4 linked regions of the Mytilus edulis genome follow. Each later gene encodes a partner of the first gene's protein in a complex. Links are inferred from orthologs where the notes say so. Each region holds a gene or a part of one and is shown in the gene's direction. Other genes may lie near its edges. The genes, in order: dynein regulatory complex protein 1-like, F-box and leucine-rich repeat protein 13-like, dynein regulatory complex protein 10-like and dynein regulatory complex subunit 5-like.

What was found.
Region 2: dynein regulatory complex protein 1-like (region 1) and F-box and leucine-rich repeat protein 13-like share a complex: the UniProt entries of both Homo sapiens proteins name them as parts of the nexin-dynein regulatory complex. The link is inferred for Mytilus edulis from reciprocal best matches to the Homo sapiens genes DRC1 and FBXL13.
Region 3: dynein regulatory complex protein 1-like (region 1) and dynein regulatory complex protein 10-like share a complex: the UniProt entries of both Homo sapiens proteins name them as parts of the nexin-dynein regulatory complex. The link is inferred for Mytilus edulis from reciprocal best matches to the Homo sapiens genes DRC1 and DRC10.
Region 4: dynein regulatory complex protein 1-like (region 1) and dynein regulatory complex subunit 5-like share a complex: the UniProt entries of both Homo sapiens proteins name them as parts of the nexin-dynein regulatory complex. The link is inferred for Mytilus edulis from reciprocal best matches to the Homo sapiens genes DRC1 and DRC5.

The regions. Positions count from the first base shown.
Region 1 is NC_092355.1:22,110,533-22,119,046, reverse strand, and holds the start of dynein regulatory complex protein 1-like, read left to right. Parts: upstream 1-5,514; 5' UTR 5,515-5,596; coding exon 5,597-5,712; intron 5,713-7,791; coding exon 7,792-7,992; intron 7,993-8,453; coding exon 8,454-8,505; intron 8,506-8,514. Other genes in the region: large ribosomal subunit protein uL5-like, read right to left, coding at 2,679-2,785, 4,208-4,355, 5,321-5,347. UniProt on the Homo sapiens protein: Component of the nexin-dynein regulatory complex (N-DRC) a key regulator of ciliary/flagellar motility which maintains the alignment and integrity of the distal axoneme and regulates microtubule sliding in motile axonemes.
Region 2 is NC_092344.1:89,672,987-89,680,979, reverse strand, and holds the start of F-box and leucine-rich repeat protein 13-like, read left to right. Parts: upstream 1-4,235; 5' UTR 4,236-4,334; coding exon 4,335-4,412; intron 4,413-6,570; coding exon 6,571-6,674; intron 6,675-7,228; coding exon 7,229-7,325; intron 7,326-7,993. UniProt on the Homo sapiens protein: Substrate-recognition component of the SCF (SKP1-CUL1-F-box protein)-type E3 ubiquitin ligase complex.
Region 3 is NC_092349.1:64,491,231-64,499,720, forward strand, and holds the start of dynein regulatory complex protein 10-like, read left to right. Parts: upstream 1-5,290; 5' UTR 5,291-5,419; coding exon 5,420-6,352; intron 6,353-7,185; coding exon 7,186-7,419; intron 7,420-8,490. Other genes in the region: two pore channel protein 1-like, read right to left, coding at 1-3, 718-806, 1,952-2,082, 2,480-2,593, 3,054-3,424, 4,932-4,992. UniProt on the Homo sapiens protein: Component of the nexin-dynein regulatory complex (N-DRC), a key regulator of ciliary/flagellar motility which maintains the alignment and integrity of the distal axoneme and regulates microtubule sliding in motile axonemes.
Region 4 is NC_092346.1:62,497,733-62,506,571, forward strand, and holds the start of dynein regulatory complex subunit 5-like, read left to right. Parts: upstream 1-5,652; 5' UTR 5,653-5,729; intron 5,730-8,251; 5' UTR 8,252-8,256; coding exon 8,257-8,575; intron 8,576-8,839. UniProt on the Homo sapiens protein: Component of the nexin-dynein regulatory complex (N-DRC) a key regulator of ciliary/flagellar motility which maintains the alignment and integrity of the distal axoneme and regulates microtubule sliding in motile axonemes.

The DNA.
Region 1 (8,514 bases):
AGATAACTCCAATTGAAAATGAAGTACATTTTTAGATTCAGCATATCAAAGAACCTAACTGATTCATTTTTTGTCAAAATCAAACTAAGTTTAATTTTGGACCCTTTGGACCTTAATGTAGACCAATTTGAAAACGGGACCAAAAGTTAAGAATCTACATACACAGTCATGACAGTTAGATTCGGCATATCAAAGAACCCCAATTATTCAATTTTGATGAAATCAAACAAAGTTTAATTTTGGACCCTTTGGGCCCCTTATTCTGTTGGGACCAAAACTCCCAAAATCAATACCAACCTTCCTTTTATGGTCATAAACCTTGTGTTTAAATTTCATAGATTTCTATTTACTTATACTAACGTTATGGTGCGAAAACCAAGAAAAATGCTTATTTGGGTCCCTTTTTGGCCCCTAATTCCTAAACTATTGTGACTGACCTTAACTCTCAAAATCAATACCAACCTTCCTTTTGTAGTCATTAACATTGTGTTTAAATTTCATTGATTTCTATTTACTTAAACTAAAGTTATTGTGCGAAAACCAAGAATAATGCTTATTTGGGCCCTTTTTTGGCCCCTAATTCCTAAACTCCCAAAATCAATCCCAACCGTTCTTTTGTGGTCATAAACCTTGTGTCAAAATTTCATAGATTTCTATTAACTTAAACTAAAGTTATAGTGCGAAAACCAAGAAAATGCTTATTTGGGCCCTTTTTGGCCCCTAATTCCTAAAATGTTGGGACCAAAACTCCCAAAATCAATACCAACCTTCCTTTTGTGGTCATAAACCTTGTGTTAAAATTTCATAGATTTCCATTCACTTTTACTAAAGTTAGAGTGCGAAAACTAAAAGTATTCGGACGCCGGACGACGCCGACGCCAACGTGATAGCAATATACGACGAAAAATTTTTCAAATTTTGCGGTCGTATAACAATGAAATGTATTATATACATGTTGACAAAAAAACACAAGAGCAAACATCAAAACTTGTAATATGCGCAAGAAGAAACGGCAATCAAGCATTTATGAATATTATTCCTGACATTATTGATCTTGTTAAAAAGGATAATTCAAAGATGTTAAAAATAATTCATAGATTCCTATTGCTTATTTAAATACAAATGTCAATTTAGTCTTATTATTTTTTGTTAAATAAATTTTTTGGTATTAGACAAGACTTTTATGCAATATGGACATGATTTCACTATGAAAAAATGTCCAACGAAGGTCACAATAGTATTTATTGTCAAGGGACACTTTTACATAGAGGTGGACAATATTTTATAATAAAATTATGTCCTGGACCAAATTTCATAGATCATATCCATGAAATTTGGTCCATGGGACATAATTTCATGGGGGACACTATTTAATCCTACACAGTAACCATAAAAATCGTCAAAGGTTGACAACATATCAAGAACTCTTACTCATGAAGACCTTGGATAATGTGTCACCTTTGATCAATATTTCAACGGAGTTGTACATTACTTAAGACAGTTTGGAGCTGTAGCAGAATGATTGTCTATCAGCAATAAATACTTCTATAGTATACAGAGATGCAAACAGTTTTTTTTTCCTGTCAGACATTGGGGCCTACAGGGTACGAAGTTTTGCCAGACCCATCACATTTCTGCCAGACCTATATTTTCACTCAAAATAATCAATGTAAAAACTTTGTAATATGTCTATAAATAACAATGAAATGTAACTGTTTCCTGTTAAGGGGTTTCCCGAATTTTCCCGCTAAAAAGCACATGGCTTTCAACAATTGTAAACAAAGCATTCAATTTGTGATCATGGATTACAGCTTTAATTAATTGAATTTGGATATAGATATTCAACTTAAGGTACAGTCAGGCAATGTTTTTACTTTTTTCTGGATTAAAACTAATTTGAAAGAAAAGTTTAAAAAATAAAATATATTGTGAATATTCAGTGACCCATAGATTTTTTGAACTCTGCTACGGAGGTTAAAGTTACGTCATTTTTCAAACCAATGGTGTGTATTCTCTGTTACAACTAAATAACTGCGTTTGATATAAATATTTCAATAAATTAACAATGTCAAACATACGATTTCAAAACTGAAATTTATACTGCAAAAGGTTTTATTTTTATTTTTTAAGGAAGGATATTTGGAAGGTGTCAGGCTATAATAGTTATCATTAAAACAGTTTGAACTCCCGATTTCTATTATGTAATCGAAGCCTTGAATGTTGTTCTATCTAATCATGCAACGTGGTTGTAAATTCACAATTTTATAAACAAAATACTCTGCCAGTACCGACGGGGAATTAAGTTTTGGCTGACCCAAGCAGACTAAAATATTGACGGCCATCAGGTCCTGCACAGCAACGAGTTTTGCCGGACCTGCATAAATTCTGCCCCTTAGGTCTGACAGGTCCGACGATTAGTTGCATCTCTGAGTATATCCTGTACCATTTAGTTAGTATCCAATCTACTATATTAAATAGACAGGAGTTGCAAATATGGTTTTAATGTTGCACAAAGTTAGTCAGGCAACAGGAACTATCCTGTAACCCGTGCCAATGTGCATATTAATGTCACTTCAAATCTCAACTAGCCCAACTTAAAACTTGTTACAATCAAAAACAGTCTTAGTATAATCGAACAAAAACAGTCTTAGTATAATCGAACAAGTAAACACATGTACCTTCAAACCTTTTTCTAAGATCTCTTCTGCCTTAGCGCCTCGTACTGTACAGTGACAGGCAATAGTTTCATTTCTTCTGATACCGAAGGACCTGACGGTATAACGTGCTGAAAGAACAACAGAATATTTAATATAAAAGAGAATTTTCAATGTTCAAATCACGTACCCATTATGGCAACAAGACAATTACTTTTAAAACAAACATTATACCAATTTCATAACATGTTCAAATATTTTTACAAAGTATAATGTCCAAATAAATTTAGTATCCAATCTACTATATTGAATAGACAAGAGTTGCAATTATGGTTTTGATGTTGCACAAAGTTAGTCAGGCAACAGGAACTATCCTGTAACCCGTGCCAATGTGCATGATTTATATGTACATAAGGATTTAAAAGTACATTAAACAGGTTGGGAACAAACCCTCTATATGGTGATTATACCTGTATAGAGGGATAATCCTTCTATAGAGGGGTAAATTTATCCCTCTACAGAGGGGTATTTTTGTTTAGACTGGATTTAAATCAAAATAGGGCAGAATGGCATTCTTTTCTTATTATGGCAGTAACCTGGAACAGTTGATGCACCAATTGGTGTACTTAATTTAATATGCACATGTCCAGTTTGATGCTTATCTGACTAAATATAAAATCTATTGTTCACCATGATTAAAAGCTGTGATGATCAGGTAAATTCTACTCACTTATGCCTCACTGAACAGAATTTCTATTGATATATTTCACATGAAATTTAAAGATCAACTATTCCTTTTGTTGTTGATCAGGTGTTCAGATAGGTAAACAATACTAGATTGCAAGTTTTGTCACTTTAGTAGAAAACTGGTTATCCCAATTTTTAGTAAAGTGCATATGTTGATGCATATAATGCTAGAGATTATAGCCAATATAAATAGAAAATGCCATTCTGCCCTAATTTGCTTTAAATCCAGTGCAAACAAAAATACACCTCTATAGAAGGATAATTTTATCCCTCTAAAGAAGGATTATTCCTCTATACCGGTATAATCACCATACAGGGGGTTTGTTCCCAACCTGTTAAAGATGCACTTATAAGAGAATTATATGTCAACAGCAAACTAAAAGAGGCAAAAAATATAACAGACAAGGGGTCTGCAGATTATCTTTGGCTTCTTCTGCCATAGATAGGCATATTCAGTGTGAAATAAAACTGGTTAATAGTTTTAAAATGTTTAAAGAGAACTAGCTATATTGGATGGATAAGTTGATGCAGCTAACTGTATAATTGTTCAGTTCATATTTTCATTGTTGTCCACTGTACTGGTTACAAAATCTTACAATAACAACAAGTTTCCAAGAGTAAAACCTAGTAATGCAGATTTTTTTTTTATTATGAATCTGGTTGAACATATGGCAGCTTTGAGACACATACAGATCTGAATGAGATGATTATAAATAGGACTATGTACATTTGAAGTGCGTTTGTTATAAATTAAGCATTTAAGAATTATTTGCAATTGATTTAACTGTTAAGAAATCCTACAATACCTTTTGAGAGCACTGGGGTCTGACCAGTTAGCTGTTCAAGCACCTTGGCGGCACGGGTAAGTCGATCACCAGACTCACCAACACAAATATTAATGCAGAGCTTGACGATCCTAAGATCTCGCATAACATTCTTCTTTTTGTCTTTATCCTGAAAAGATAAACAAAGAAAACATTTGATAAATAAAATTATAGCAAGAACACTTTCATGCACTTTAAAATATTTATATTGACCTTTTGGGACTACATGTTTACACCACAACAACTATACATAGAAATATTTGTGCGACTAGAAAATTATGATTGCAACTTAGCATCTTAAATTTCTAAGCTATTCTAATTTCTTCAATGTTACAATATATATGATCTTACAAGTTAGTGTGCATTTGTTAATTTTTACTATCTTCTGCATGGACTCAAATAGTTGCACAGCAAATTCCAGTATTTAGTTATAATTTGAGACCTCTGACTTTCATCATTAAATATGTTGACAAATCACAGGAAATCGTTACCCAATTTGATGTTTAGGGAGGCAAATAAACAGTTAGAAGTCTGGCGGTAAAGGTCATTACTACCCTCTTTTATTACTACTGAACCATGGGACAGAAGACAAAAGTGTTCGTATTTCTATTTCTCAGTTCTTATCAAATAGTTAAGGTGTAAACAACAATCTGACAACTCTGATGTGCACAATTTGTCGTTTTCACTAATTTTTTAACGATGTTCCCTGTAAATTAAGACTTTTACTTATAGTAGTGATGGCTGATGCTGAGTACTTTGAACAAGCCAAGGGGGTTGTCTATTAATATTATCACATTCGCTTGTGTTCACGGTTTGATACGAGTACACAAGCATGCAAAGAATGAATACATTCTAATGGGAGAGTTTCATTTTAAACAGTCTGCTATTACTCCTTACCATGTGGCAATACATCAAACATATATTTTTACCATAGTTTAACCCACGTCGACTGTTTTGGATTTGTACACCTTATTTTACAAAATATAAATGAGACAATTAACTATAATCAAGCTATGATATCTTGTTAAGAGACTTAAAGGTGTGTTTAGCTTTTATTATTAATCAAATAATCAGGATGACGGAAGATTTCATCACATGTAAAATTCGTAGACTAACCGCCATGATGAAAACAACAGGAAAAGGAAGTTGACCTGTTTACCCTTTCAATTCATAGAATTAATTTATAATTTTAAATAATGTAAATTAAAGACTTTTGAGTTAATTTTATACAGAAAAATACAACTTTGTAATAAAATAAATTAAAATATAGATAAATTAATACCTGAAGTACAACAACACGTGATCAATGGCCGGAACCTTCATAGCAACAATAACAACTAAACGATAGATCTTAAAAATTGTGCCGAAATCATGAGTTCAAATGGGGATTCAGATAATGAAGGGCCAACTGTTGATTCTGAAAATCCGGAGGAGAGAGTTGCAGCCCGAAGATTGCGGATCACACGTAGAATAGAAGCTGCAAAGAGGTTATTATAAATCTTCAGCACATGTCAACATAATTTATGAAATTGTCATAATTCTCAAAACTCATTAATTTTTAATAAGTTTAGGCATAAACACAAATTATATCAGTTAAAGATCTTACACAAACATTTCTTAATATACAGCAGGTGCCGTCTGTGACCTTCTGTCTGCTTTTCAACAGTGTCAGTGACAACAATCTTAAAGCATGTTGGCAATTTTTTGGTAGTGTCCAGTCTTCACACTGAGTGGCAGGCTGGCAGCCCAGGCTGGTAAAATTGCTCTCGGGCCTGTTAAAATCAGATCTACAGGGCAACAGAATCTAACTAAAAAATTTCAAAAATTGAGCTCCGGGCCTGTAGATTTAGCAGTTCATCGTGAAGACTGAGTGTCTGCGCGACCTTGCATGCAAGGATATGTAGACATATTCATAAGCTAATAGGACCTGCATCTGGTTTTATTAAAAACTGTGATGAGAATGAAACTTGAAATATACATGGAAATTATCGGTAATTGTCGATTTTGTGAATTCAGTGAAGAGAATACACCTTATATTGGTAACTGGGCGACAAATTGGGGGGTATGAGATTTCAACCAGTTAAATCTGGATCTCATTGGGGTCTAAGAGTGACACAGGATTGCCGATTTTTTGTAAGCGTGACACATGAAATTCCAATTTGTGTCCTGAAAACAGGAAATTAAATCTAGTGGCCATGGGAAATTACAATAAAAATGAGAATTGCTAACTGACAAGACAGTAAGCGGGATCTGGGATCAGAACCCCCAATGAGACCCCCTTAAATGCAAACGGATCTGATGACATTGAGTGGCAAGAAGAAAATTACATCTGACATTTAAGTATACTCTAAAAAATATGGAACTCCTATTTACAACATCTATAAAATATCTTTGAGTAAACATCACAAATGATCTACACTTGGGAAAGCACATAGAGGAGATATGCAATAAATCTTATAGGACATTTAAGGTTTACTAAAAAGAAATCTATCCGCATGTCCACTTGAAGTTAAACTCCAGGCATATAAAAGACTGATACGAACTGTAATTACCATCACTAAAAGACTGCTGTACACAAAACAGACTGATCCTTTTCTGCAAAAGCATACATGGTCAAGCAAACTTACCATCTGACCAACTGAAAAAACCATCCCTGACAAACAAGAACATGCACAGCCAACATTTCCTCAGACTTAAAACGAAAACAGAAATACAGTTTCATTCCAAATACCATCAAAGACTGGAACCTACTACCACCAGATATCTTCTTCAAAATTCATACAGCAAAAGAACCAGCTAAAACATTTAGTGAAATTGTAAAGGGGGTCCCACTTAAGTAAATTACTTGACATACGCACAATGTATTAATATCCTTGGATGTATTCACCGTAAACCTATCAAGATCAAGATAGTTATTTGTCTGCCATTACTGGACATCACAAAGGTTCCTGTAAAATTTTGACATCTTAAAGTTAATAGAAAATATCTGATGCAACAATAGAAAAGTGATTGTTGTATGATGTATGACATCAAAAGTTGAAGCAGAAGAGATTCTCAGATTTCCAAATAACCATAAGGTCACAATTTAGGTGTATGGCAAACAACATTTTCTAATTTGTATACAATTTATTAGTTAAAAATATGTAATAAATATTGCACATTAGATGTACACTATGAGTCCCTGTAAGAGAAAACATGATAGAAAAATAGAAATTAAATATAAATGCACATAAAAAGAATAAGTATATGTAAACAAATTCTTCTGTTAAAGGATTTTTCTCATGAAATTCAAAACAGAAACAAAATTTCAAAATATTTTAAAACGACTAAATATTCTAGAGCTCTGTTTGATTTGGAATACCAGGAATAGTGCATAATTGTAATGATTGCGTCTTTTTGGCTTAGTTAGGTATTGATGTTTGGCTGAGAACCAAGTTATGACATGTATGACAAGTTTCCATTGTTTTTGTTCTTAGGTCATACAAGTTGAAAACAAAAAACTAACCATGGGCAAATTTGATTATTTTGAGACATAATGCAAAATTTAATCCAGCTTTATATTTTAGGGCTGAAAGAGGAGAAGATTTAGACGATGCAAAAGAAGCCAAAGAGGAACTCAGTAAGAGCAGAAAACAAATTGAAGCTAGTCGACTTCGTTTAACTAAGTTAATTGAGGATGGTGTTGAACTGGTCACCAATATACGTGTTGGTTGTGATGCCAGGGAGGCAGCCAGGAGAACAGACGAGGAGGTTAAAAAACAGGACAGGTAAAAACTATCAGAAATAATAAACCACATGTGCTTGCAGGTTCAAATCTCATTTTGTATAATAATCAAAAGTTACTTCATGTTTCCCAATTGTTTATTTTCTCCATACATAGAAGATATTAATTAAAGGTTTTCTGGAATAAATTAAATAACTTGTGAAAATAAAAGATGAGTGCTTAGAAAACCCATCTTGCATTCAAACCTTGTTATAGGAAGTTAGTAATTTCCCCAGCTGGCCCCTTTTAAATGTTAATGTCACTGACATGATCCCATATATCACCTACAAAAAATGTAAGTAATGATATACATTAATTTTTGTAAAATTACTTTAATAGAAAAAATAAGTGATCTTCATATTTTCTGTTAATAGAATTTTTAACCAGAGGAAGGAAAACGTTCACACATTTTATGTTTAATTTATTTTCTATTGTGTCAAAAATAATGAAACATTTTAATTTCAGAAATGGTAAACTTAAGCATGAAGGGAAGACAATGGCTGAAAAATTTGAAAATGTAAGATTT
Region 2 (7,993 bases), on another chromosome or scaffold:
TATCCCGCACTGCTTTGGTAAGAAGTTCGACGTACTTGGGAATCATGCCACTTTACTATATATACGACAATCTTAGACTAGAAGATTAGCCTAGGACATAGCATAATTTGTCCGATAGCTGGTGTGTTCTAATTATGTGTGGGATATTCGTCAATGTGGAAGAACATAAAAAAGACAAAAATACATTTGATAAAAAAAAGATGCAGACTTAGGGACGATTTAATGCTTGTGATGATTTAAAATGTGTGGGTGTTTGTATGTAACTGCATATTTTTATTTACATAGTGTTGTGTTTAGTACTTTAAAGGTAGATTTGCTTGACCATGAACCTTGTAGGTATGTTCCTTGCTATCATCTGTTCCAGACATTTCCCGCTGGATCACTCTTGTACTGGCCTGATCATTGAACTCAAATAAAGATAAAAAAAAAAAGGGTTATATCGTTGGTAGCATTACCATTTTCTTTATCGTAGATATATTCATGAAGATAAAAGTTTAAACTACTATACTAACCTTAGTTTTCCTCTGTTTTGTCGTCACCTTGACAAAAAATGAATTTTCTCAGCATGGTTTATGGAAATGATTGTCTCTAATAAATACGTCATTCCACTTTGACCATACTAATATCAGTTATCTAACACACTTGTCCTTCTGTAGTGCATTCCATGACTAGTAAAGCACATCTGATAAGATTAAAGTAATGTGGTATTAGTCATTTTCTTATTTCAATGAATGTTTTCAAACATCTAGAACACTAACATATTTTTGGTAAGTATTTCAGGTTTGAAACTTGGATTAAGATTTGTCCCATTGGCACTCATACCACATCTTATATCTCCTTAAAATGTTAATTGGAAGAATGAAATTTGCAATGAGATTTGTTGCAATTGTTCCTTCATGTCTCTTAAAGTTTAGTTACAGTATGTATAATGGACATAACACGACTTTATAAGATATTTCATGTACACCAGTTCACAAACGTATGTGCTTAAGCTATAACTAAGATTGCCATTCACCCTCTCACTCACAGAGACTTGGTTAGCAGATTAGAATTTTGTTTGTCAATGTTTTTTTCAAATCTTTTTTAGTTTTTCCTGTCTATATATTTGCTAGAAAATATTTATGCTAACGTTAAAAACGTTAATAATGTAATACAAATAGACTAGAAATACAAAAAAAGATTTGGAAAAAAAATGCTAAACAAAATTTTAATCTGCTTACCAAGTCATTGTAATTATAACGAAACTTTTGTCTTGTTTAATTTTTGTTTAAAGCTTTACATACAGGAATAAATCAATAACTATGGTCCAATATTTCAGTGCAAAAATCTTTAAGATTTCATGACATAATATAAATAGTTCATTAAGTTCTTTTTGTTACTAGTACTATAAGTGCTTAGTTCCCATCGCGCTCGGGACTCGAACCCGGGACCTCTGTGTTACAAAGCAGCGCGGCATAACGACTAAGCTAAAGAAGTACTTTCTTAGCTCAACCGCTCACGGCTGACTAAGTCTCTATCACAAGTATTATGCCATCTTTGCATTTATCTTATTAATGCATTTACTAATAAAATCAAATAATATGTGAACAATTAAAATTCCGGGAAAAGTATACAGATATGTATGTATATATATATATATATGTTCAATATGATAAAAAAAAATCTAAGCCAACGTTGGATTCAAAGATCGATGGAAAAATATTTATAATAAAACTTCTTGTACTCTTACGTGAGGGGGGGCAAGGGGTTTAACTGTTATGCTGTTATGGGGCAATTTAATTCTTTGTTATCTGTTATTTTGAAAATGTATTTGCTGTTAGCTGTTATTGTCTTATTCTTTGTTAGCTGTTATTGGGCTTTTAGTTTTTTTGTTATCTGTTATTGTGATAATGTATTTGCTGTTAACTGTTATTGAAAATTGGAATGTTAGCATTTTTTTTGACAGTCAATATTCGGTATAAATTGAAGATCATTGGCCATTGGGGTCTAACACTACTAATATGTTTGTCCTGTATTCAGAGAAGGATTCCATTAACATATACCCATCTCAGAAGTGAGGTCCAGGACAATTCAAGTATATCTTATGATTATCCTTTGTAATAAATTCCATTTTTTTTTTATGAATGTGTATTTAGAATTATCTTAATTTTTTGTATGAGAATAATGTTCCTTGTTTTCCGTACGAACATATTAAATTAAAACAATTCTTAATATGACAAAAAGGAAAACATATGGCTAGGAATATCTGACAAGGATCTCAATTAAGGACTAGGTCCTAACAACCACTTAACCTTTTATATAATATGGTACATAGACACAGCTCTGTAATTCTTTTCAAAGCAGAACCAAATGCATTGTACAATGAAAGTTCCAACCATGTACTTGGGTCCGAAGCTGCACATAACTCATTACAAACAAAGAGTTATTTCGTTTCAAGTTATTGTTTCCCTATTAAACTATGTATTCTACTTACTAGTACATTTGGTACAATCAAAAACCTCAGCTGATAAAAAATTGTTCAAATAAGGCCTTTGAAAATAGTGGAATAAATTGCTTTTAGAGTGTCAAAATTCGTTCAAAGTACTTGATAAATTGCATGCTTATAATTGGTGCTTTTGATTTTTCTACCCTATATACCACTTTGCCTCATAGTTTTATTAAGGAAAATTCACACACCTCATTAAATGGTCATTTAGAAAAAGTCAGAATATTCAAACTCTTTTAGGTCACTTTTTTGATTAGCAACAAAGGGAGCCTCAGTCAATATATATATATAAACAATACACCAATGTTTCATGAGAACTGCTGAAAACGTTTTTGTGTTAATGTCTGAAAACTGGAAAATCACCCCTTTTTAATTAATAAAACCCGTTAACTCGGAAACGTAAAATCTAAAATTTATAAAAATTGAAAGTGACCTCATGTTAATAGATATAAACGATAAATTCACCAAAATTCCTTGCTTTGTGAAAGCATTTTTGAGATATTATCAGAAAACTGAAAAAAAAACACCAATTTTATTGAATAAAAACCCATTACCCAGAAACTTAAAATCTAAAATTTATAGAAAAAAAAAGAAAAAAAAAAAGGGAGCGTCAATAGATATAAACAATTTCCCAAAGTTTAATGCAAATGGTTATAGAGTTTTTGAGTTAATGTCCGACATGTTGACAACAGACGGACAACAGTATACCATAATACGTTCCGTAAACGAGAGTATACAAAATATTATAATATATTGAGTAGTAATTTAAACATATTCTAGATACATAAATTAATACTAAAACATAGTCATAAAAAATGGAATGCATTACAAAGGATTATATCCGTAATAAGAAATACTGATTTGTCAAAGACCGAATTATTTTAATATTTCATTTACTGTTATCTGTTTTTGTCCATTTTAATTCCTTGTTATCTGTTATGAGCCAAATCAATTTGCTGTTTTGCTGTTTTTGGGACCCCCCTTGCCCCCCCCCTCTTACGTGACCACTGTCGGGTTTGGTTAGGAGAGGGTTGTGATCCCGCTAACATCTTCAACCCCGCCACATTCATAATGCAAGTGTCTGTCCCAAGTCAGAAGCCTTTAATTCAGTGGTTGTTTGTTGATGTGTTACATTTTTGTTTTTCGTTTATTTTTTTTACATAAATTAGGCCGTTAGTTTCCTCGTTTAAATTGTTTGCAGTATGGAATTTGCTCATTGTTGAAGGCCGTACGGTAACCTATAGTTGTTAATTTCTATGTCAGTGTCATTTGGTCTCTTGTGTGGAGTTGTCTCATTGGCAATCATACCACATCTTCTTTTTTTTATGATATTGACAACGCCAATGCCCATGCGGCAAAAAAAAAAAAACACAAAAAAAACAAAAAAAAACAAAAAAAACCTGACAAATAATAGTATACAAGACACAACACAGAAAACTAAAGATTGTGCAGCACGATCCCCACCAATAATGTGGGATGATCACAGGTTAAGTGAAAACATTTTTGTTTTAATCTCACTGATTCAATTTTGAAATTCCTGAAACTCTGATTTTGAAAAATAATAATTTTAGTTATTTATGGAAAACTTTTAGTGTGTCCAAGTTTGAATAAGTTCCCCCTCCTAAAAGGATATTGTCTATAATATGTTCCATAATAAGAAGGAAATACATATACATAGAAGATTATTCCACAATTCCTTCCGGAAATTGCAAGGTGCGCTACGCTATTGACTTGAATATTATAATCATTATCCGGGATATTTCGTTGCTACACAAACAACATGGATTCCAAAAATACGATAATTTGATTTATTTTCAGTTCACGCTGCTTGTTATATAAAGTTCCGAAAATGGCTGCATCTATGAAATCCTCTAACCCTGAATTAAAGACTTATCTGCGGTCAAATAAGTTACCAGATGTTTATGAGGTATGCATTTAAAGATGCAATAAATTTGGCTATAACTTCATAAGATCATTTTGTCTTTTATTTGTATTGTTTAAAAAAATGACAGGTGACAAGTATCTTTAATATAAGCAAAATGTCCTGGTCCTGACCATAATGTCAAATCTGACACAACTTGTACTTATAGCATTGTTCCTCACATGGTACAAAATGTACAGTGACGACTGAGACGACTGATGTTATTTATACTTATAGAAAATTTCGTACAGTAATTTATATAGTTTTTTAGATGCAGAATAGAGATACAGGGCTTGCAAGTTCTTGAAATGGTGCTGTACTTCCTATATGTGCTTCTACAATTTGAGACCTATTTTGTAGTTTTATTTATTTGTTGGTGTTTCTACTGATTTTATGATGTTTGGGATGTCAAACAGCATAGCAGGACCCATTATTAAATAGGTTTACTGTGCATATGAGAAACATAGAAAAAAGAAAGCCTGAGATACTTAATTTCACTACCATAAATATACATGGATGTACCAGCGAGATTAGAAACTGCAATATTTGGATCTGCAGGCAGTACGTGCTCTCAATGAGCCAAAGAAGATCTCCAGTATTCTCCACTGACTAGACCAGCTAAATCAGTAAATGTAAACTGTTGACTCCTTTTGTATCTCCAATTATGCATCACACTCCATCCTTTCTTCGTTTTTAACAGCCAATCATATATGAATTCTATTTGCTGCACACCCTTTTGGTGTTGATGGCAGAATTATCTTAGATTGTTTCAGTTCATTGATAACTTTTAAAGACAATAGACCAGCGTCACCGGAAAAAACCTCGTCAATTATGTGTGCCTTTATGACATCATTTACCAGAAAGAGGGGATCGCCTGTATCCCTACTTCATAAACATTCATCAAGCGTCTTAGTGATCATCAGTGTGCATGCAGGATAAACTAAAAATAATGTTTGTTCTTCAGGTACTTAATCGCAATTCCCTAATGGCAGCAGTGCTGAAAGACAATTCTGAGAATTCAATTTGCCGAATAATTCGTGCAATATAGCTTTTTATCCTGCAATTGGGTGTTCTACTATACAGATACAGCCCTACAGATATCGCTATGCTGTATCTGTATACTACATGTATACAAATATCACTTTAAAGCTCCACCCACTGCCGACTGAGTATTGTATGAACCTGCATGACCTCAGAATGTGTATTGCAGTCGCATTCCAATGACGTATCAATTGCGAATTAACGATTACTTTTATACATTCTGTTTGTTTTCACACATTTCTTTAGAGCAATAAAAATGGCACCAGTTTTCTGATAACATACACACATGATGTCTTTTCTAAGATGACAACTATCGATTTCAAAACTTGAATGTGTATGATTGTGTAACAAAAATAACCATGTCAATTTCAGTATGCATGTTTAGCTAATGTCGAATCTGAAGCATAGGACAACTCATACACTCCTGTTTCAAATTGGACAATGTTTTGTTATTTGTTTTTACTGTTGAAATAAGTTGTTATGTTATAATTATTCACCTTGAGCGATGTATTACTGTTGACCATTCAAGATTCTTTTTTTGCGAAACCGTCTTCAGCTGAATGTGTGACTACTGTATCTTATTACTACACGGGCTGAAAGGGATTTCAAATAGAAAATAAATGCAAAACATGTGTTTTTGTGTCTTTCAAAACACAAATTATATACAGAATTAATTGCAGGATAAACTACAATAGCTGTTGAGTGTCTTTAGATATCAGCTGTATTTGTACTCGGCTCGAAACAGGTGTAATAGCTCGCTAAAAGCATGCATACACCTTGTTTCCTAGCCTCCTACAAAAACTGCTGATATTTAAAGACACTAAACAGTTATTGTCTATATAATTTTCCAACCACTCGCTCAACATTAGATGGAAGTGACGACACCCCTAAACGCAAGAAATGCTGTTCACTAAAACCAAAGTTTCTGAGGGAATGCATCAAACTCGAAAGTTGTCTATTAAATGAATTTATAGCATGACATATTATATTATATAAAAACAAAATTACAAATATATTGTACCTCTAGAAGGCTTTTTTTAAATTTGTTGTTGAAGTGCTTTCTTGTTCAATGTTGATATTAAATCATGATTCTTTTTTTACCATTTATCAACTCTTTTTATAGGCACTACTCACTGGACTTGCAATTATGTGTCCTGAAGATCCCTTACAGTTTTTACTGGACAAACTCAAGTTTCTGACTGAAGGTGGTCTGGAAGAACTTAATTGGTATGTATATACATATGTACAATAATGGACAATTTACAACAGATTTTGATTTTGCCTGTCAATCAAGTTATCTTTGCATATTAAAGTCTCCTGTTATTAATCCTAACTGATCTTGACAAAAATTTATGTATTGTGTGTTGCAATGCATAACAGCTGTACTGTCTTTCCATACATGTACAAGTTTTCAAGGTATTAGGTTAGGATTGTCAAATAGATATAAAACTTTATTTGTAGAAAAAGTTTATTTACTTTTACATGTATACATGTTACGATAAGTGGAATGCAGATGAGTCATCTTTTCAATTTGATTTACTGGTAAAATAAATTAATATACAAGTTTGTTGTTTTGGAGGTGTCAGACTGTAATTGTATAAAAGGATAAAAGTAATTAAGACTTTCAATTATAGAAAAAGTTTGTATACTTGAATTGTAAATTAATACATGAAACCATTAGTCCTTAAAAAAAAATATGATGTTTTTGTATAATAATGAAACTAAGGTGGGAAATAATAAACTTTAAGGTAATAAGATTTTATTGATATGTATATTTTCAGGGATATGTTTGTTGATGAAGGCATGAGACCTGTAGCTAAAATAATCACAGAAAGTAACCTGGATTTTATATTCAACCTTGATGATGAGAGTATGATTGTATGTATCTAAAGCTTTTATAGAATAATGATCACATATAATCATTTGTTGTCCTAATAATTAATGTTTGATAGAATATATTATGTTAATAAATGACTTCTTTTTATATTTTTAGGTTAGGTTTTTTATATTTTATTTTTGTTTTGGTCATGTAATTTTTAGTAAAATTGTAAATAGATTCATCTCAAAGCTAAAACGAAATAAAATGATTGATTGATTGGAAACAACTACATTGTACTTGTTTCTTAAAGATACAGATTGGAATATTTTTTTTATATTGTGTTTATTTGAAATATTTGCTGAGTATAATAGCAGTAAGTTCAAATGTTGAATTACCTCCCTTTTTATGATATCAGTTTTATCAAGATTCAAGATATGCTTTGCCAGTTTTAACTTTACATTTTATGTTTATTGTTTGTACAAAGTTCAGATATTAAGATCACAATTCAGATATTTAGATCACAATCAAATTTTAAATTACCGTTATTAAGCATTTCGATTAAATTTTCTGAAACAGTTTCACCATACATGTATATATATAAATATATATACATGTACAAGTCATTTTCTATATATAAGTTATATATCTGCTGCCAAACTTTCTTATTGACCAAATATAAAAAACATTATTTAGTTAAGTTTAAATGAGTGGTGACCATTATTTCCTC
Region 3 (8,490 bases), on another chromosome or scaffold:
ACCCTACAATTAAACCATGTGTATATAATATTAACATTAACATTGATTTTCATATCATTAATTAAAAGAATGAATAATATTTTATTTATTTCATATTATAATGGTTTCCAGTTTTTTTCGTTACTGTACAAAGCAATATGTAAGATTTCTTTTTTTAAGACTTTTAATTATGTTTTTACAGTAAAATTTTCTGGAAGTGTATTGACTGATTTCATTGTCCAAAATGATAGGCGCTATAAATCTGTACAATACAGCAACACATTAACTTTTATCTTATTTCTAGCTGTCATCCTAATTTACCTAAAACCATTACCTCACAGGCTCTAGTTAACTTTAAGTTAATATTTGATACATAAACGTCCATGCTATGAAATGTACATGCAAGAATTATGATTCTATCTATAAAAATTAACTGAAAATTGGAAATGTTATTAGTTTATACCACATATACATTGAATTTTCTTGTCTAAATTTGACCTATTTACATACTTCAGCTTCAAAACTTCATTTGGTCTCTGGCAAAATGTTGTCTCATTGGCAATAATACCACATCTTAATTTGATCTTCAATTGTTTGTTCATTGCTTTTATGTTGTTTTTGCTTCTGTAATACTGTCTCAGTTTGAAATTTCAATCAGGTGATGTTTTTCACTCTCAATAAGATAATAAAAGTTTTAGGGTTCAATAGGCTTACTTATAGATGTAATATAGAGCTTACCTAATATAGAAAATATCAACATGAAAAACAATAACAACAACAACATGTCTATAATAGGTGGCATGGACTGTAAAATCTGTCGGAATGTTCTGAAATAAATACAAAACAAAACAATTTCAGCTTTTAAATGTAGAAAATAAACTCATCATAGATACCAGGACTAAATTTTGCATATACGCTAGACGCGGATTTCGTCTACAAAAGACTCATCAGTGACGCTCGAATCCAAAAAAGTTTAAAAGGCCAAATAAAGTACGAAGTTGAAGAGCATTAAAGACAAAAATTCCCAAAAATTCTGCCAAATACAGCTAATATACACATGACAAAAGGTAAAACAGGTGGTAAAGCCTTATTCAACATATTTTGACATGAATGTTACAAAGTTTGGTTCCATTTAGACTGGTAGTTTCAAAGGAGATCTTGGCAAATGTTAACAGACACATGTGATTAAAATAGCCCATTTGGGCCATGTGAGCTAATAATATTAGACACAAACTGTAAATTCTGTTGGAATATTTTAAAATATTAAATAATAAAAGCTCTAGATTGAAACGAAAATCCTTGAACTTTATTTATAAAACACTTAGCTAGTACATAATTTTAGTTCAGTTAAAATTTAATTGGAATTTTGAAAATAAGGATAAAATTTAATCAATATTTATTTTAACTGGTTGCTTCCTGTCACTCAGAGAAACTAAAGTAATTTAAATTCTCAAGTGTTTGTTTAAGAGGGAAATTATAAACACTTAAGATTGATGTGAACTCTTTAAAATAACTGTTCTTTAGGAAGATCTAGAAGGAAAAGAAAACTCTATTTTAATCCATTTCCATAATTATGTTTGAATCTGTGAAACAGTGAAATATAAATGCATTCTTAAAAACAAGTTATATGATTGTAATAAAATTGAGAATGGAAATGGGGAATGTGTCAAAGAGACAACAACCCGACCAAATAAAAAACAACAGCAGAGGGTCACCAACAGGTCTTCAATGTAGTGAGAAGTCAGTTTGTGTCTAAAACCTGAACTCTGATTGATGTAAAACTTAAATTTACACAATGTGTCAAACCAGTGAACCATGAAATATGGGTACCTTGACCATAATAGAGTATTGTTCTCCCCAAAATTCCATAGCACACAATATTATACTGCTGTATATTCAATGACCCCTCTATCAGCATGATTACAAATAATCGCTTCAACAATATGGTAAAATTTAATATTAACAAACATACCTTCTGACCCCTCTGCAGTAGTATGTATCTATGAGAAACAATGGCCTCAGTGATCTTGTGACTCTAAAATGGTTATGCTGTCGTATTATCACAACTATAGTCTCTATAAATACGATGATCAAAGTACAACTCTGAAAAATAATTTTATTACTAACTTTCAGTTAAATTTGCACTATCATTAAAACAAGAATGTGTCCATATTACACAGATGCCCCACTCGCATTATCCTTTTCTATGTTCAGTGGACCTTGAAATTTTGCATCAATCTTACTTTAATTTTGCATTAAAATTAGAAAGATCATATCATAGGGTACAGGTATACTTAGTTTCAAGTTGATTGGACTTCAACTTCTTTAAAAACTACGTATATCTTGACCAAAAACTTTAACCTGAAGCAGGACAAACAAACGAAAGGAGTAACAAACGAACAGACGCACACACAGAAAAACTGGGGCATAAAAATAATCATTTGTCTATAAATAAGTATTTCTATTGATACAAAAAAAAATCATTAATTAATCTACATACCTTTATAAGAGTTCTTTTATGTTTGATGAATGTTCTGAATCCTAGCCACTTCATGCGTATTCCTAATTCTAACGCTAATATCAAAAGCCCAAACAATTCCAGTGATCCATGAACCTGTAAAATACATCTAATACAAGAACACATTTTATACCTGACTTAACTGTACATTTTCCAGGAGCCATAATCTATGTTATTGTTGGACAAAGGTATTTCATAAATTAAATTGAGAAAACTAATAAATGGCTTTATATATACATGTATGTTTATGCTTGCTTTCTGCTTATTCAGTCTGATTTTCATGATTCTGTCATGATTTGAATTATTTATGGTTAAAAGTTGATATCTGACCACTTACAATATTTTTTTAAAGAATAAGACTAGCACATCTTACAAAGGCAATGAAAAACATACAATGAAAATGATACTGTATTTTCCTTCCCTTCATAAAAGACTCAGTTTAAATTTGCTGGAAATTTTTATAATCAAAAGACTTGAGCTTTCGGAAAATGCTTGTTGAATTTACCAGTCAATAATTAAAAAGACATTGACAATTAACAATTATATGGTAACTTACCCCTACAGGGAGAGTTAAAAATGGCACTGCTGGTCGTTCACAGGCAGCTAATCCCATTACCAGCAGTGCTGCAAATAAGTCTAAAGCATAGAAAATTTTCTTGTGAGCAATTTTATATGCTGGCAATGCATTAAAGTCTCTGGGATGTGTACTATATTTATCATTGTTTTCCCCTTCCTGCAGATATATAGCTGCCTCTTGGTAATTCAGTTCCCAAGTTTTATACTGTTTATGTCGTCTAGTGATGGCATGGTATGGAGTGCCCTGGCCCTCCAAAATCTGATGGTTAGATCCAAAACCATTGTTTACATCATAAATAGAGTCACCATTACTGTGTATTCTGTTTGATGGAACATCATATTGGTCTTCATCTGAAATAGACATTAAAAACCAAAATAAACAGTGTTCTAGCTACAACCTTTGAAGAGGGCAGCTTCCGCCCTTTTTTATTGACGCCCGTTCCTTTTTTCTGTTGTTCCTCGGGCATCATACTTTTTATTACTGAACAACGAAGAGCTTTTTACATCTTATTGATATGTATAGTTTTATTTCATTAAAATTGATCAAAGGTTTCTATATATAAACCTGAAACGACCCCAGATGTCGATTCCTGAACAGTTAGCAAATTTAGACACAAAATTCAAGCTTGAGAATGTCTGAATTTGAATTTTGATCATTTTTTTTTTTTTTTACATAATTACGTTTCTGACACAGAAATAGAATTGGTCTGACAAGGATCTTACAAATTTATTGTGCAACCCTGTGCAATTGAAGATTTCTTGTTGAAACTTTTCAAAAAATTTAAAATTTGAAAAATTTTGAAAAAAATTTGAACTACATGTAAAAAAAATAGAGAACCCCCCCCCCTCTATCTTTTCGAATTCACAATGGTGCAATTACCCCCAAACTCAATCCTAGCCTTTCCTTTGTAGTATGGAACCTTGTAGTACAATTTCAAAGAGATCCATTCACTTAAACACAAGTTATTGCCTGGATTTAACTACAAAAATACTTGTTTTTGGCCCTTAGGTTTATAAACTGTTGGCACCAAAACCGTGCAAAATAAATTCCAGCCTTCTACTTGTGGTATTAAACATTGTGGTACAATTTCAGAGCAATCAAAATATTTAATACACTAGAAATTATTTTGAAACTAGAAAAATGCTTGTTTTGGGCCCCTTTTATCTATTAAAACGGTTGGGACCATCATCCCCATAATACACCTTATCGCTATTGCTGGAAATCACACAGGTTCCCGTAAAATTTTGACTTCATAAAACAAAATGTCTGACGCCACAATGGAAAAGTGATTGTTGTTGACGTCAAAAGTTCAAGCGGACGGGTCAGCCGGGAATAGCGATAAGGTGTATAAATCCTAACCTTCCTTTTTGTGGATTTGAACCTTCTGAATACATTTCATACAGATCTATTCACTTAAACTAAAGTTATTGTCTGGAAACCAAATTAATGTGTCTTAGGAAACGACACTGACATCAGGGCATCAAACTACCCAATAAAAACACACCCTGCAATAATTGAATCTTACCTGCCAAATCAATTTTCTCAAAATTTTGTAAATTTGCTTTCATGCTTAAGCATTAGTGACTAGTGTGGTATATTGTGACAGTTGACAGGCTGTGCGTCTCTTTCTTTGGATCATGGAAGTGACTGTGTATTTTCAAACTTGTCAGGTTTTATTTATCACTGGTTCATTTGGACTAATTTAACCCTTGTTATCTACTCAAAAATAAACTATTATCTCACTGACTTTCCGCAACACTATTTTTTCAATGTAGCAATTAAAATGCAATGTCACTAGCCAGTATAAATAGTCAATCTTAAGTGTTTCAAAAAGAGATGCACATTAATAATAAATACCTGAGGGTGAAAATCCATTTTCATTTCTGATTAATAGGGGACTTTCAATATTACCCGCCATATTGTTTTCATTTTTGATAATCAAGGATAAGTATAGAGGATTGCGAATGTATCATGTGTATTCTAAAAATATTCCGAACAAAGGTTATTTCCGCTTAAAAGTAGTTCCATGACAACTTAATAAAATCATGAGCAACATTTTTTGCTTTATTCCCTTAGGAGACTAATATCTTCTTTTTTTTTCTTTTTTTTAAAACTGTATTTTTCATTTCATCGAACTATTTTGTAGATTTATGCTATTCAAAAAAGAGAGACACAGAAATTGTAGAAGTACTATTTGTTGCTAGGGAATGCGTATTAAACAAATTCAATGTAATGCGGCTGCAAGACCGATAAACAGTGAATTGGTAATGTTGACGATGTAAATTAGGAATTATATACATATAAGCCTATTGTAAACGTTGTTATCGCCGTTATATTGTGCGAAAATGGCCACCACAGCAATGCGAACACAGACATTAACAGGTTCAATTGCCACAGAGCCAATTTTAAACATGAAACTAACAGTTCCCGTACCCCCTCAAAAAGGAGGACCAGGGAAAATAAGAAACAGACTCCGTTTAGATCCAGCGAGGGCATTAGAACCTGCAAGAAAAAAAATAGCCACAGTTGAAGCACAGCGTGTTATGTCAGTATTTGAGGACACAATACAAAGAATAGAAATTTCCTCAATGATCCCATACATTCTTGAAAATTTGGACAGATTTCGAATAAGCTTTGGGGTAGAACTTTGCAGCTTGCTAGAGAACCACAGTATTATAATCGGTAGTTACAATGAGATCAAAGAACAGCTTGATAGGCAAATGCAAAGGAATAGAATACGATCAGCCAGTTCTGTCAGAAGTGATGCATCACAAGAGCAACAAAATGATATGAATGAAACTCAACCTACTGCTGAAGATGACGAAGATGAAGATTCCGTTTATGGAGGCCAAAGTCCCCCACAGAGTCCTGTTAATAAGCCTCCATCTAGAGGTAGTAGTGCTAGCAGTCGAAGATCTAATCCTTCTGTTGCTAGTTTTGACAGCCAAACAGAACGTACAATGCGGAATTTGAGTCTGGTAGCTCAGCAACTTAGTTCCTCATGCAAAAACATTCTCAGACAATTTCAAATAAATGGTAGTGCATTTAATTCTGTTAAGACCCACTTTCATGCACGACCTAAAGAGAGTACCCAGCTTTTATCTTACATGAATGATTTGAGAGATATCTTACTGAATAAACTGTTAACAACACCTGAGGAAGAAAAAGAGAGAATGGCTTACATCCAGGAAGTTTCAGAAAGAGAGAGAAACAATGCTACTATCATTGCAAAGATGGAAGAAGAACTTGATGCTGCAGTTGCTGATAAGGAAGAAGAGGTATAATATTTAGATGGATTTAAAAATACTTGGCAAATTTTTTGACTCCAACATGTCAGTCTACATGCATCATGTTTATTGATACATTGTGGATGATATGCATTTATTAAGAGCACTGAATTATTGTATTTCAAATCATACTGGCATTCTCAATGATAAAATGTTCTCCATTTTTAGTTATAAAGTTACAGAAGTTGAATTTTTTTTAAGATTCTTGAATCAATATTTTAAACTCAAAAACATGTAAAACTATATATAATCAAACATGTCTCATAAAATTTAAAAAGAATACTATAATTTGCCTCACTTGGTTTACAATGATGTCTAACTTTTGCAAAGAGAACCTTTATTGTAAAAGAGAAACATTTTAAAATTTTAATGACTTTCAACTACAGATACATGTATATGTTGCCACCACAAAATTGTGTGAATAAATTAGCAATATATACTCACAATCATCATGTACATGTAGCACAAACAGCAGAAACAAATTATTGTAGTCTGTAAAAGAGTTATTGTCAACAGTAATAGTTATACAGAAAATTATAGAAGATATGATGACAATACACATAATTAACAGCGCCTAGTGATGTTTATAGTCTGACCAGTTTGTGTTATAGTAATAGGGGTTGGCAAGAAGTTCTATTTATTGCACATCACATTATTTTATTTAAGTTCAAAATGTATACATGTATGTATGAATTTAAACACATTATAATAATATAAATTGTATAATGATATGACACATTATTTCATATCATACATGTCATAGATACCAGCTAGATTATTTCTTTTAAACATGTGTGTATAAAGATTCTTTCTTTCTTTTATAGATGAAGAAGAAAAATGATGTAATAAAAAAGCTACAGACAGAGTTACAACAGATTATAAACTTTTCCAAAGAAAATATAGGAAGGATTAAGAATGAACAGGACAAACAAGAATCAGCTGATAAAAAGAACCATGAAGGCAAAGTACAAAGGCTGCAGAATGAAATAGTACAACTTAAAACCCAGCTTCAAAACCTTGTATTGGAGCATAGAGAAAAGGAACAAGATCTAAGAAGGGTAAGATACATTTTGATGCTGTAAATATCTCAAATACATACATGTAGCATTAGTATAATATATACAATGCTATTTACGAGTTAGCATATTTAAACGACGAATCCGCAGGATGAGTTCTATACATGTAAATATGTTAATGAGTAAGGCGTGGTGTATATGTTTTGTAACATCATTCAAAAGTGGCCTGGTGATTTTTTATCCAATAAAAACCCAGTGGGAATGTTGTTCCAGCCCCCTGCTTAACGTGTGCACGTGAAAATCAATCCAGTCAATTTTTTCGAAAATCAGCCGGTTCATTCAGAACAGAGTCGTAACAAAGAGGCAGGGTTTAAATCATGGTTTAACATGAAAAATATCAGATTAAACCATAGTCTAAACTCCACCTATCTACATGAAGTTGCAAGCACAAAGTATGTCATGACTTTTTTTAATGGAATAACATATCAATCTTTCTATAATAACCATGGTTTTTCAGAAACCGAACTATTAAGCAGAATATCACGTAAAAACTTCAAAGGAAAAATGCCATATTATGTTACAAGATATATATAAATCTTGTTGAACAAAGTCAAAATAATTCTATTGTAGTATTAATAATATAATAACTGGCCTATAAAAATAACCAATACAATGACATTTATCATTTCAAACTGCTATTTATTCAATTTTTTGGTACCAAATTCAAAGATGACATTAGCATGATTATGCATACATTGAATTTAGCTGAATTTATCATTGAAAAATTTACATATATTCAGATTTCACATGATGTTGAATTCTGATTTAAAAATATTAAGATTGGGTATATGATTACTGTGTACATGTACTTAAAATGTATAATTATGAGACAATTACAATCCGTTCGAAAACAAAGATAGTGGATGTAAACAAAGGCCACTGTAAATCAAATACTGTAGCAATTTAAGATTTATATAGTTATTATCTACGAGAATGATTAACATAATAAAAGCATGACATGAAGAAAAAAATATCAGCCCGATAAAAGATATGAACCAAAAATTGGCAGACAGAGAACAACTAATTGGCTCCTGATTGCATAGCTTTACATGT
Region 4 (8,839 bases), on another chromosome or scaffold:
AAAGTTTGGGACCATTTTATTCACAAAAATTATTTTTTTTCGGTTTCCTGTCATAGGCTGGTTAAAAGAGGTGCTACATGTACATAAGACTTGTAGACAATTCATGAATGCAAAACTATCTAGAATTCTTCTGAATAGGGCACATCATTGAAAGTTGTCTAAAATACCCTGCACAAGGCACCGGAATACCTTATGCAGTCCACGAAAAATTAGTTATTTTATCTAAGAACATTTTAAACTACAAAGGTACCCTGCACAAGACACAGGCAAGCCTTATGCAGTCCTCAAAAATTAGATATTGTATTTAAGAAAATTTAAAACTACAAAGGTACCCTGCACAAGGCAAATGCATACCTTATGCAGTCCGTGAAAATAAGTTATTCTATTAAAAAAAGTTATTTATTCAGATGAGGAAATAAAACAGTAGGTATGACATTTGATAATACAAATATATTGAAATAAAGATAATTCACTGTGCTTATGTCTCTGAACAGGTGTTTTTTTTTTTTTGAAAGATGATGTTCTTTCGCTGATTTTTCTTTTTCTTTGACCAATTTTTTACTGTCTTCTTGCCATCACTTGAAATAGACACTTTGTTGTCTTTTAGCACAAGGTTTAGTGATTCACTATCATTTTAGTCCATGGTTTATTGAAATTGCGGTCAGGGATATCTCCCATAGCTGCTGAACATTTTTTTTCAAACAGTTTTCAAAATACCTATGAAAGGTGTTTGTAGAATCCATGGATTTTTCCGACGTAGTCGGTATAGTTTCGGTTTGTGCCCTTTGAACTTAAGGACGCTTAACTATGGCAACAGAATACACATGCTCGAAAATCCTTTCTGTGATTGGACAAAATGCTGTCATGGTGGGTGATTTGGTTTTGTTTGAAAAAACGTCTCGTTAATTATATCGTGATGGAAAGCAAGTGAAAAACTATAAATATTTGAACTAGATCTTACAAAGATTTATATTTTTATTAAAATAATTGTTTCTCCAATAGCTCTTTGCATCCATGACAGCTGTTTATTCGGGACAATTATATTATTTTTAACTTTGTTGTACGAACGTACATGACTTTTATAACGCACCTACGCATGTGAGATTTCTGTGGGGTTTTGGTGAATGTAAACAGAAAGATACAAGGACCGAGAATACTGAACACAAACAGAGAAAACTTGTAGTTACATTCAGATGGAGATTTAATTAAAGAGGTCCTGCATCATTAAGTCATTGTGCTTCTGAAGGTTATCGAAATGATAGTTTTAAACATATACTCAAATTTAAATACGTCGGATATCTTTTTTAAAGTTAGTTCTTGTTTACTATCTCTTCACTTTTTGCTTCAAAACATATTACACCATCTACAGTAAGAAGGCCAGATCTCCAAAAGATGGATTCCAAAATCATGTCTCTGTCTTTCTTATCAACAGTGTAGTCTATTAATTTCTGCTCAGCATTTAGACGTAAATAGTAGGTACATAACATTTTGCCAGATTGAGGAAATGCTTCTTTAACTGCATTTATTAATCCGATTTCCTCATCAGAACCTAAGACCGGTTTGAATTCTCAACACCGCGAAATTTTACTTTTAGATAGTTAAAAAAATTGATGAAACATTCAAAGTCACTATTTTCATGTGTAATAACGGGTCCGAGAAAAAATGGGAGGGTTCTGAAGTTGTTTCCATATTTACAGCAGTCTGTTTGACGCATAAGGCGGTCATTTGCATGTCACATAAATTATTTTTTTATCGCTACCCACTGTCATGACTGTAGATTGGCCAAAACAGTACAACCTTTTGATCTCTTCTAACTGCTGTTCTGTGTATACAATAAGACAAGTGGCTTTGTCATGGTATCTGATGATGGACTTAAGCTTTATAATGGAGTCTTGTTCTGACAGTTTTTTGTCTTTTTCATTGATTTAGTCTGTTATATTACAAAATGTATTAACCCTAGTCATATATTGACCACAATCGTTTTTTCGTTGATTCTCTTGGTCTCTGTACTTCTTATCTTGAACTTGAACTCTCCTACTGGTGGTATTTGTTATGTTTATATGTCAGTTTGTTATCAATTGAAACATTCAAAGGCATTTCTTTTTGCAGAAGATGAGATCTGACTTCTCAGACAAAACAGTTCAATGCTGGAGTGCACACATAGGCAAAGGTACTATTTTTGAAGAAAAAAACACCCCAGTATTTTAAAAATTAAATCTCACATACAACATGATAAACCTTTTGATTTTAAACCTATACATGTTCACACAGTAAACAAACTTGTGAAAAAGATCAATATAAAACAAGCTACTGGCGTAGATCAGATATGAACTAAACTACTACGAGCTGGTGCAGCAGTACTCAACAAACACATAACAACATTAATAAATAACACCATAGAATCCAGTGAGTTTCCAAACAGACTCAAAGAACTCAGGTTGTACCATTACACAAAAAGAACAAGTGAAACTGCGAGCTACTGCTCACTGATGATACCCCCGCCACAAGTGGATAATATTAATAGTGTAAAAATATGCAAGTGTTCGGTAAACAGGAAGTTATCGAGTGATGACTCTGAAAAGGCATCACACGGTATAGCTGACTTATATAAACCCTGAAACCAAATTTCAGAAATCCTTGTATTGTAGTTCCTGAGAAAATTGTTACGAAAATTTTCACAACTTGGCTATCTTGGGTAAAATCATACAAGTGTTCGGTAAACAGGAAGTTGTCAAGTGATGAATCTTAAAACGCATCACACGGTATAGCTGACTTATATCAAGCCTGATACCAAATTTCAGAAATCCTTGTATTGTACAAATGTTGTAGTTCCTGAGAAAAATGTGACGAAAATTTTCAACTTGGCTATCATGTGTAAAATCATACAAGTGTTCGGTAGACAGGAAGTTGGCGATTGATGAATCTAAAAACGCATCACACAGTATAGCTGACTTATATCAAGCCTGAAACCAAATTTCAGAAATCCTTGTAGTGTAGTTCCTGAGAAAAATGTGACGAAAAATATTCATGGGACGGACGGACTGACTGACAGACTGACGGACTGACGGAAGGACAGACAGAGGTAAAACAGTATACCCCCCTTTTTTTCAAAGCGGGGGTATAATGACCCACTGGATAAAAAGAAATATAGACCTGTGAGCATTTTACCAACAATTTCAAAAGTATATGAAATGGTTATGTCTGACCAGTTGACTGAATTTTTTGAGAATATATTTCATGCTTTTTTATGTGCATTCAGAAAAGGTCATGGATGTCAGACAACTTTGCTGAGACTCCTTGAAGATTGGAAAACAGCCCTGTATAATAATATGTATGTGGCAGCTATTCTTATGGATCTTTCAAAAGCTTTTGACTGTTTACCACATGATATTCTTTTAAGTAAATTATCTGCCTACGGTCTTTCTTTTAAATCAGTGAAATTACTTCAAAATTATCTTACAGATCGTAGGCAACAAATCAAACTTCAGGGAGTACTCAGCAGTTGGGATGAAATCCAGAAAGGGGTACCCCAAGGCTCAATCCTGGGGCCCCTATTATTTAATATTTTTATAAATGACATATTCTATTTTATTGAACATGGTACCCTATATAATTATGCTGATGATAATACTCTGTCATATGCAGACAACAATTTTGAAAATTTATTATGTACACTTGAAAGAGAAAGTGCTGTTTTAATTGACTGGTTTAGTTTTAATTGTATGCAGGCAAATCCTGACAAATTCCAAGCCATTGCAGTTGAAAATAAAACATTTGCAAAAAAGCCCGTTTTTGATATATACAGTCAGCAAAAATATCCTGTGATGAGATTGTCAAACTTTTAGGTATTGATATTGACTATCAACTTAATTTTAATCACCACATTAAAAATATTTGTCGTAAAGCATCCCAACATCTGAATGTTTTAAAGCGCATTGGCTGCTACCTTACTAAATTGAATAAATTTACCATTTTCCACACATTTATTTTATCTAATTTTAATTTTTGTCCTTTGGCATGGCATTTTTGCAACAAAAATAACACCACCAAATTGGTAAAAATTCAGGAAAGGGCTTTACGATTTATATATGAAGACTATGTTAGTTCATATGATGAACTAATTTTACGAGCAAAGGTTCCATCATTGAAAATAAGACGTATGCGTAACATGGCTATTGAGTGTTTTAAGATTTTATATAAATTGTCACCACCATGCTTACATGATTAAGTAGTATTGAAAGATTGTAAATATAATTTTAGAAATTCTAATATTGTAGATATACCAGAAAATATATTTTCGTCTCTCTCGGGAGTTTAACACAATATGACAATGAAAGACAGTGTGTACCTAATAATTCCCGCCAACTTTTACATTATTGAAATCTAAAATACCTAGCCTTCCGAAAAACATAACATTGATGGTAAATACCTGAGAGTGCTGAAAATATATTTCCGGTAGGTGTCACTTTAGTACTTTCATTTTCAAATGTAGGGCCTCGATTCGTTCTATTTCAGAAATGTCAAGTTTGTTTTAAGGACTGCAATAGTTATATGGGAACGAAGTCCCCAATAACAGTAGAAAATTCAATAAAAAAAAATTAAAAAAAAAATATCGGGAAAATTTTTTCATTGTACTAATGAACTCAAAATCATTCAATTTTTTTTTTGTCGCGTTTTTGAATTTCCAGATCTGCGCAGAAATCTACAATGTACTTCCTTTTTCCGGTCTCGTTTGTATGAAACTTTGAGTAAAATATATATTTATCAGTCTTGTATAAAATAGGAAAGAACGCAATACCAATTTCATTTTTTATAATTCCTCGATATGAAAAAACGTTACCTGATGATAGCGTTTCTTTGTTTACATTGTATATGACGTCATTACTTAAATAACGTCACAACTAAAATCCCTAACAACAGGTCAGAACCAAAATCCGGGAAACGTTACGGTATTTCCATTTCTTTTTTTTTTTTAACAAATATTTAAGGTACAAAAAAATAATTCCTATAGACTTCGTCCCCATTTACAGGTAATGCCTGCCTCATATTAGAGGTTACTTAAGGTAATAAATATATGTCATCATGGTCATTGCAGAGATAATTCAAGTGGGAACAGATTTATTCAGTTCACAAAGGAAGTGAAAGTCTTAGAAAAATTTTACAGCAATAATTTGAAGCATTGTCGCAAATGAGCTTCCTCCCTTGTGTTTTTTTTTGGGTTTCGTATGGATAGTAAACCCGGCAAATTTATTGTAACAAGCCCCTGTGCTGTGCTTCTACCACTATTAAAGTGACCACCATCATTAGGTTGACTGTCCTGTAAATGTTTGTTGTGCGCTTGTTTACCTTGGGAAATCGTGGTACAGTTGTATATAAGATCTTTAATTTCGGGTGATTTTCAACAGAACCAAAATCGGAGAGCGTTTATACGGTATTTCCTATTCTTTTCTAACACATTTTGAAGTTACAAAAAAAAATCATACAGACTTCGTCTCCTTTCACAGGTAATGCCTGCCTCATATTATCTACTTTACATTTAATTCAATATACCTGAATTCATATGAAATGGGATATATTTAAATGAAAATGAAAAACTATGTCAGCAGAAAACCTGCAGATGGGCGCAGCCATTTTGTTTTTCCACCGGATACGGAACTCGCTTGAAAATCTACTTCCGGATTGTCATAGTAACGAGAAGCTTTTAGAAGATCATACTGCAGAGTAAACTGGTAAATTCTATTCTATGTTCAGACTTTTGCGTCACTTAAATGGCAAAATAAGTCTTAATATACTCTTATATCAAAGACGTTTCTGTATATAGTGTGTAACATAATTAGAGCAAATAATTATCACAAACCTTTGGGCTTGACATCAGTCATCACAGTATCAGAATATTTTGTTACTCACATGTACTACTATTTGAGGAATCCGGGTCCGTTCGCCCTGATTTTTATTTTTTTCTAGTTTTTGTCTAGTCGCATTATTTTAAGTATTTGAACAAAATATGTTAAAGTTTGGTTTTTTTTTTTAATTTACAGAATATTTATATTGCTGCAATCAATTTATCATTTTCCCTTTGATTTGCAGAGTAGAATACTGGAATACAATGTATTCATCTTTATTGATATAAATTGTTAACAAAATGATTGTATTCAGTCAATCACGAATGTATGGCAGTATGACTAGTCTTTATAGACTAGAGTATAAATAAATAAACTTGTAAATTTTATCCGTTTCATAATTTACAGTTGTACATCATTGTTTTTATTAATTTCAAGCTGAATATTTTATCAAAACAACAGATTTGTTTTTATTATTAATCGGCCAAAAGACAAGTATGACACAATAATCAGTGATTCAAATTATTTTGTCAGTGAACAATTAATTATCCTAAACAAGCCATAAACTTTTAAATATTTCAATAAATTTCAAGAATATTATATACATGTACATACCATAGAAATATCTATTTTCATTCAACTTCAATGCCCTCAATATTAATATTTTTATAGTAGGGCGAACAAACCCTATGGGTGAACGAACAGACCTAGGGGGAACATGTTTTAAGGGGGAACGCTCCCGATACCCTACATGAGGGTTGTAATGCCCTTTACCTTCAGGCATTAAACAGTCATTTACGGCTACCATTAGGGTCAAATTGGTTAAAATTTTACCATTATTCGTCAAAATATCCTTATCGTAATTTGTCAGATGTCTCAAATATTTAACGTTACTGTTATATTTGGAGAAAAAAAACAGAGTGATTTATCAAATTAAGCTGGTTTTTTTTAACGTCATGCACTAAAAATTACTGTTAACTTCATACGACAAGAATTTTTACTGTTATACACCATGAAGGTACCCCCATTACTACCCTCCTACATGTATATTATATACATGTAGTACCATCTATACAGATGGGGTACAAGATCTGACTACCAATTCCAACAATATGGAAGGAATTTCAAATATGTTGCTTTATCCTTAACAATGACTAGTTCTTGTCATATATTATTCATAACAAGTACTCACATCTTGAAATTAATAGCCATTAAGATTAATTTTACAAAACCACACTCATTTAGGCAAATGCAAACATCTTAAGACAGCTTTAAATGATATGAGACAGGCATTACCTGTGAAAGGGACAAAGACTGTATGAATTATTTTTTTTAATTAAAACATTTTAACTTCAAAATCTGTATAAAAAGAAACACAAATACTGTAAGGTTTCTGATTTTCGGTTTTGGTTCTGTTGTTAAGGATTTTATTTGTGACGATATTTAAGTTATGACATTCTGAATTGAAAATGCTGTAGATGAAGTCTTTATTTAAATTTTTAAAAATCACCCCTGTATACTTCTGCAGTCAAAGAGCTCAGCATTTTTTTGGGTATAAATTGACCATGACAATACCTATAGCTTGGCAATTGATCAAAAATAAAATAATAAATGACTGTCAGAGAAAAAACTATTAGATGTTGAAATCAAAATTGGTCAAATAAAAGGTATATTGAATTTATTTAACTTTAATTTTGTCTTCATATTTTTATCAACAAATTACAATATTAAAAGCTAGTTTAGAATTAAGGTATAAATAGACTCACTACACCAAATTGTTTAACACATTCATTTATACATTGTAATGCTTTAATAATATGTTGTTATATTTTCTGTGAATGATGTAAAATTCATAATTAATTAACTGTGATTGTTGTCTTTTAAAATGACAATTTTGTGAACACTAATTATTAATTAGTGACAAAATTTGAAAACTTTTTGATAAGCTGTCACATGTCATGGACCAGAACTTCCAATTAGATTTAAAAACAAATAACCTAATTACATTTTTCATTAAAAAAAGTAAGTCAATATTCATTTGCAGTGGATCTGACTGTTATTCCTTTTAAGTTAAATATACCACGTACATGTATACAGGTAAAGTGCTTGAATTAACTTATAGATATTTTCAGTTGGTTTCAATGCTAACAAAAATATTGAAATACAATTTAAGTAGTATCTGGATTAGGCTCCTCTTTTTGCTAGAAAATTTACTACAGATCATGTAAAATTAACATACATGTAATGGGAGAGTTATAATATAAACCTAACATTTGCAGTTGTAGTACACTTTTCTCCAGTTTAATTTAATAAGCTATAGGACTACAGTGTCTAAGAGGCACAGATTTGTTAAAACTTTTACATAATTATTTTTTAAATGAAAACTGATTGCAATGATTTATTATTTTTAGCCAAGATGTCTGATCCAGCAGTAACAGATGGTACAGGGGAAGATAAAATTGATGACGATGCCAAAAGTACAAAGAGTGGACCAAAAAGTCAGCCTGGTTCTAAACAACCATCTAGAGCTGGGTCTGCTCAATCAGGGAAGAGTGGGAAGAGTAGTGGTAGACCAGCTATGGCAGCAACTCCTGCTGGATCTGTTAGGGGAGATAATCCAGCAGCTGACTGGAGACAGATGAGGAGAATTATAGCTGAAGATCCAGCATATTCACTGGCAACTGTCCCATTACTGGTGGATTTGTGTATCAAACATATAGTTACACATTTTGATAGTAAGCAAATAGTTTTATATCATAAATTTCTAAAATAATTATACATTTACAGTAGGAAAATGTTAAACATAATTACAATAACCTTGACTTACTTTTAGGATAAAAGCCGATTCTCAGAAACTGTTCATTCTTTAATTATAATGAAAATTGTGGTGAAAATATTACTAACTTTTGCCTTTGATAGTTTTCTATACAATATTTTTTTTTGCTCATTATTGAAGGCTATAAGGTGAACTGTAGTTTTAACATCCTTTCCTTTGATAT